Linked DNA regions of Kluyveromyces lactis. The protein of the gene in region 1 interacts with the protein of each later gene in a pairwise test. Links are inferred from orthologs where the notes say so. Each region holds a gene or a part of one and is shown on either strand. Other genes may lie near its edges.

Region 1 (3,656 bases):
CCTGCCTCATTTGGTAAACTGATTTCGATTTTTCTGTCCAATCTACCAGGTCTTAGTAAAGCAGGATCTAAAGTGTCAGGTCTATTCGTAGCCATAATAACTTTCGTTTGTCCTAAGTTGTCGAAACCATCCATCTGAGTTAATAGTTCCATCAATGTACGTTGAATTTCACGATCTGCTGAGGTACCTTCGCTAAATCTACGTCCACCGATAGCATCTATTTCGTCCATAAAGATGATACAAGGTTCATGTTCTTTGGCGTATGCAAACATTTCTCTAATGATACGTGCTGATTCACCGATGTATTTATCTACAATACCGGATGCTGGGGAGAAGATAAAGTTGGCACCGATAGTTGCAGCAACTGCCTTAGCCAATAAAGTCTTACCAGTACCAGGAGGACCATATAGTAACACACCCTTAGGTGGTTTGATTCCCACTCTCTCGAAAATTTCTGGGTTCTTTAGTGGAAGCTCAATGACTTCTCTCAATTCTCTGATCTGTTCCGTAAGACCACCGATACCATCAAAAGAGATTTCACCTTGTTCAAAAGTGGTCATATTATAAACTAATGGGTCAGTTTCTCTAGGTAAAATTCTCATAATAGTTAATGTAGTAATATCAAGTGTGACTCTGACACCCTTCTTTAGCTTGGAACGATCAACGGAGTTCCTCACACCCACAATATAACGAGGACCTGATGACGCTTTTACAATGTATTTTTCCTCGGAAAGTTCCTTCATAACTTCCCCAATGAGTTGGCCAATCGACTGTAACGCCTTGATATCCTGTTCTGTTCTCTCATATTCTGCTTCTAGTACCCGTATGGTTTCTCTGCGTTGCTTCAACATATCGTCGTATCGTCTGTGTTCCATAAGTCTTTTCTTAAAATGTAACATCGCTTTTTCCTTTGCAGCCTGTTCTGGATCCACAGGCTCCACCGTTTCAGGTGCGGCAGCGTTATTTTCTCCCGAATTAGAGTTGGTACCAGCTCCGTTAGTGTCATCACCATCGTTTTCTTCCATTGCTGCTAGTAAAGGATCCTGTTCTTGAGACATCTTTAGTATTTATTCTGATCAGACTAGCTTAATCTTCCTATTCCTGCTTCTCAATATGAAAGGAGAAAAATCCCGTACCTTTATTCTGTCAGTATTCCTTCCTGGTTGGACTAGTACTGTTATAATGGATTGACTCAACTCAATTGGTTGGATTTGGCCTTTCTTACCTATTCTCTTCATTTGGACTATGGGTTACTAGATTGAATGGTGGCAAAAGCATTCGGAATCTACTAAATAGAAAGGGAGATCATTACGCACGATTTTGAAATTTTCAGGAATAAAGCTTTTCAATATAAGATGGAGTATTGACTAACCTAAGCATCACGTAGGATGATGACCTGCCACGGTACAGTTTGAAGATATATAGTGGGTTCTACGTTTTATTGATGCGTTGATCTCCAGATAAGACAGTTTAATATTCCCAGAATAGTACAGAACAATGGATTTTCAAGCTTTTATATTCTGTGGACGTGGTGCGAAGCTAACACCGTTTTCCAATGTTCGTGGAGACACTGGTGTTCCCAAAGCTCTATTGCCGGTTGCAAACCGCTCCATGATTGAGTTCGTACTAGATTGGTGTGAGCAAGCCCAATTTAAAGAGGTCAATCTAGTTATTGACGCATCCGATGCTGACGAATTAGAGGAAAGTTTGAAAAAATACCGTGAAGTGAGAGGGCATTATTTTGGACTGTTATCCCAAAGCGTTGGATCGAACCATGCTCACTATTTGAAAAAACCATCTCCTATTAATATTATACCCTCAAAATGTGAGAATACAGGAGAATGTCTGAAGAATGAATTGCTAGATAAGATAACTGGAGATTTCGTGTTGTTACCTTGTGATTTCATCACAGACATTCCACCACAGGTGTTTTTAGATCAGTATTTGAATAAAGATCCGGAGAATCTAGCTATGGCAGTATATTATCACAATGGGTTTGAGAATATCGATAAGAAGCATTTAAAGCAATTCCTGACTGTATACTCCGAGAATTTGGAGTCTGTTAGTAAGCCCGTTCTTCTAGACGTTTATTCCAAAGACGATGTGGACAAAACGAAATATTTACAAATCAGATCCCAAATGCTTTGGAGATATCCGAACTCCTCTGTATCCACAAAATTACTGAACTCCTTCATTTACTTTTGCTCTCATGAGTTAGTAAACCTATTGAAGGATGAAACCGAGAAAGGTGCTGGAGAATTAGACTCTGATTCGGAAGCCGTTGATTCTTTGGCCACATCATTCCAGAACACGTCTTTCTTGAAGGGAAAGAAGAAATTAATCAAAGATCCAATAAACTGTAATAAATCGCTAGGCAAGCTATTCAGGGATTTGTCTAGGCGTTCGTGGCAGCATGTGAAACCCAGAGAAACTATAGGTATCTTCGTGTTACCTGAAATCGGATTATTTATCAGATCAAACAGTTTGAGTGCATACATGGAATCCAATAGGTACGTTTTGAAGATTAAACAAACGGCGATTCAACAACGCACTACTGATGGTTCTTCTGCTATCGGTGCAGATTCTATGGTTGGTAACAATTGTGCAATTTTGGAGAAAACCAATATTAAACGTTCGGTCCTCGGTGACAATTGTAAAGTAGGAAAGCGATGCCGTATCGTTGGGTGTGTTGTGCTTGATAATGTTGAAATTGATGATGAAACCCAGCTAGAAAATGTCATCATCGGTAGAAATGCAAAAATCGGCAAGAAATCAAAGCTTACAAATTGTTATGTTGAGGGCTCTTATATTGTCAATGAAAAATCCACTCTCAAGGGTGAAACTTTGACAAGTATTTACATAGATGACGAAGATTACGCATCCTCTTTACTGGATTCAGATTCATCTGGATCCGAGTCTGATTACACTGATGAATATTATGACGATGAGGATTATGTTGATGATGGACTCTTCGACCGTTGAACTTCGGTAAATTATTATAAATAGAGTATTTTTGCATATATCATGATCAAATAGCCGTACCATGTGTACCTTAATAATTATAGAAATCTGATAACTAATCTTCTGAGCTTGTGTAAACTTCTTGAACGGATTTCTGAATATTTACAGTTTATGTTTACAAAATAATTGATGATTTTCGTTCTGAATTAAATACATAATAATAAATTACTATTCACAAGTAAGATTTTCCTGATGTTGAATGAATGTGTGAAATTATGCTGAGAGTTGTTTCTTATCTTCAAAGAGCCAGTCCCAACGGTCCTTTTTATGCAAAATTGCTAAAATCAATACTGCCGGCAAATGTAGTACACTGACCCAGAATGTTCTCCTCGCATAAACGTTGGCCATTGCCAACCCTTTGTTGAATTCTGTCTTGTTATTGTATATCTCCTTGGAGTAATTACGCTTTTGCTGGAAATAAAACTTGAATGCCCATAGTGACATCCAAGCATTAACAAATGCTGAATCCAATTGATAATACCAGTCGGTGACATTGAAGTATGAAAGACCAAAACATAATGGGAACATCAGAAGTGAGTATCGCAGAGCTACACGAGCATTAAGCTTTGGATTCTTCCATGCAGTCATGACGTATCCCGCGTTCTTGTACTCATTCCTGATGTTGTGACTTAACG
Region 2 (3,141 bases), on another chromosome or scaffold:
ATATCAATGGATCACATCGTTACCGAGTAACTTACAAGATAAGGAATTTTCCTTTTATAAAACTAAGGTGGATAAGGTTCTAGAAAATGTATTGGAAAACGAGGGCACAAGATATGCGTTGAGTGAAATATTCGCCAACTTGAACGATTCAAAACGGGTTACAGATTTAATTACAAAATGGATGCTGTCGGATATGTCGGTGAATTCGTGGTGTCCTTCTTTCCGTAAATTGATCGAAAATGCACAGATATGATATTTTAACTGGGGGAAGGGTTTCAGATTATAGAGCTTAAATTTAAATTGATCTTTTAGAGCATTGATCTCGTCGTTTTGTTTATAACAACTAAATTACAGATTAGATAAAAACCATTAGATAACATACACAAACAGAAAAAAAATTAATAATGAACGTGAAAGAAGGATGAAGATACCTTCTATTCTCATTTCTTTTCAAGTATTTGGTGTTATTCATATGTTATGTGTGAATTGCACGATGCGATGCTCCCTGGAGAAAATATTCAACCATGAATATATTAGCTATGCCTTATGAGGTTTATTTGATTCCTTTCGAACTGTATCGTATTGAACATTAGAAGATTGTCGAAGTTTTTTCTGATTTTTCGGTAGATGTTAATGATACTACTATTTTGATACGTCATATCAATTAATCTACATTCTCTTTCTCTTACCGACGGTGGCTTGGAAACCGGTCTTGATGGAGGAAACGGATCTAGTAGAACCGCAACTCTTACAAACCAAGAAGAACAATCTGTTCGATTGTTCCTTCTTCAATACGGTATTGATACTCTTACAAGTCTTACAGGTGACATATTCCAGAATATACCTTCTTAATAGATTTTCCATTTGCTTTGGCAAGAACTTACCCTTGATGACCAATCTCTTTTGACCGTCAACAGAACCTGAGGTACCCAATTCCGCAAATAGATACTGGATTACATGTTCTGGGGATCTTTGTAATTTTTCACTAATTTCTTGGATGTTCGCAAATATAGTCTTCTTACCATCTCTTTGACAGATTGGTGGAGGGATCTTGAACTTTGGACCTGATCTATCACCGGCCAATTCAGGATTATTTGTGTTCAAAATCTTAAAGAAACGAGACAATAGGTCTTGGTATGGTAGGCCAACATCTTGTTGAATGCTAGAATCGATTTCAGTTGGAGTGGCCTCCTTGGCAATATCATCGACTGAAATACCTGCTTGTTCTAATTGCTTCTCAAAGTCATCCACACTGCTCTCGGCAGCAGCAGCCTTCTTCTTCTTTTTCTTCAACTTCAATTCGCCTAGAGCATCTGAAATGTCGTCCACTTGCTTCTCAGTGGTTTCTTCACCTTCCTTGCTCTTCTTCTTCTTCTTCTTCAAACCAGCAAAAAGATCATCTGTTCCCTCGGTGGAAGCAGCAATCAGTTCTTCCGGAACTACCTTCTTGCTCTTCTTCTTCTTCATCGTTGGATCGAATCCTAAGTCGGCCGCAACATCAGTCATCGTTGAGTATCTTTGTATCTTCTCGCTTCTTGCTAATCTCCTTAGTAATAACGGAAAGGGCCTTGAACTTTACACGAACTAGACTCTTGCCAACAGATTTCCACAGAAGTTGTCTTACCCTTGTGCAAATATGAGCTGAAGAATCCAATAGGATATTGAATAGCGATGACAATTGCGATCCAGTCGTTTCAATTCTCTTGGTTTTCCGAAAACTCACTATTTTCAAAATTTTCCCAGGCCACGCGATAGTGTTGTCATTGTGCACGTTCAGTGTTCGGGTAACACACGTGACTTATCTATTCTTTGGCCTTTGAGTCTGGTTAGATAAAACTCCGCTTGTTGGGCGCATGAGGTAGGTGTACCTATGTTTATTGATGATTAGTATACAGTTATGTACATGGACATTTGGTTCATATTTTATGCTCAAATTGGCCACAATACAGCTTTCCAGCCGAATGATTTTTTTTTGACCACGGTTCATTTTCAGAGGAAACTTATTCTAGTTGAAGCTTTTCAGTTTGCTCTCTTAGAGCTTCTGTAGCTTCTTTGGTCACTTGTTCAATCTCTGTACCTTCTCTAAATTGGACGTTGTCGATAGATGCGGGCTGTGAGGCTTGTTCTCCTTCCTTTTCCGATGAAGTTTCTTCCTCATTTTCGGTCGATTCGGGTTCCACGTCGAACTTCTTCAAGTAATATGTTTCTATCTCTTCTTGTCCGTTGTTTTCAGCTTCGTAGATGGCATCATGGTCGAAATTATTCCTGATGAATGGATCAGCCTCATACTCTTCACAAAGAAGCTGTACTATATCCAATTTACCATTCAACGAAGCCCAGTGCAATGCAGTGTTACCTGTTTCGTTTTGCTTGTTGACCCATTCCTTTAGTTTATCCTTTGGGAAAATGCTTAGTAGATATTTTACCACCTCGAAATGACCGTTGGCGGCTGCCATATGCAAGGCAGATGACTTAGACAATTCATCTGTACATTCAATGAGTGCACTTGGATCTATCAAAGTGGTAAAAATATCCTTAAGAGACTCCAAATCTCCAGCTCTTGCATCAACGATGATAGCTTCTTGATCTTCTTGATCTAAAGGTCCTGTATGTAGACTCATCTTACAATAATTTCGTTCTGTATTTTGGGCTTGATTGCGTAGTTTTCCTGTTCTCTGTTCATATCTTAGCTCATCTCATCTCATAATCCAAATTCTGTGAACTTTTCAATTTTTCATGTTAAAAGGTTACTTTTTCTTTTTCTCCGAAATAGATGTGCTAAAGGCTTTAAATATAATTCAGGACATCTCTGAGCACCTCTCTTTAGAACAACATGATCACGCCTACATCGGGAGAGTGTCAGCTGCGCCTTCAAGACCTGACATCGGTTTCACAAAATGTCAAATAAATTGACAGAAGTATTATCTAGGAAGCTTGATTTCGTAAGCGATACTCCAATTGATGCATTCTTTCAAGAGTTAGATGAATTCCTTAAACCTATAAAACATAATGACGATATTGGTGATATCTACGAATCATTAAACTTAAGCAACAAGGAACTTATAGAAAAATTAGCGAAGTTCTTGACTAGATTATGTAGTCTAGTCGCAGAAAAACAACAAGAAAATGCGGACATAATAC

The links.
Region 2: the proteins of GCD1 (region 1) and SUI3 interact in binary tests that used the Saccharomyces cerevisiae proteins (3 or more experiments, as listed by UniProt). The link is inferred for Kluyveromyces lactis from reciprocal best matches to the Saccharomyces cerevisiae genes GCD1 and SUI3.

The regions. Positions count from the first base shown.
Region 1 is NC_006039.1:830,463-834,118, reverse strand, and holds GCD1 (translation initiation factor eIF2B subunit gamma), read left to right. Parts: upstream 1-1,497; coding exon 1,498-2,982; downstream 2,983-3,656. Other genes in the region: proteasome regulatory particle base subunit RPT4, read right to left, coding at 1-1,058; COX10 (protoheme IX farnesyltransferase), read right to left, coding at 3,235-3,656. UniProt on the Saccharomyces cerevisiae protein: Acts as a component of the translation initiation factor 2B (eIF2B) complex, which catalyzes the exchange of GDP for GTP on the eukaryotic initiation factor 2 (eIF2) complex gamma subunit.
Region 2 is NC_006040.1:750,308-753,448, reverse strand, and holds SUI3 (translation initiation factor eIF2 subunit beta), read right to left. Parts: upstream 1,507-3,141; coding exon 670-1,506; downstream 1-669. Other genes in the region: ADD37 (Add37p), read left to right, coding at 1-253; YAR1 (Yar1p), read right to left, coding at 2,001-2,621; RTP1 (Rtp1p), read left to right, coding at 2,898-3,141. UniProt on the Saccharomyces cerevisiae protein: Component of the eIF2 complex that functions in the early steps of protein synthesis by forming a ternary complex with GTP and initiator tRNA.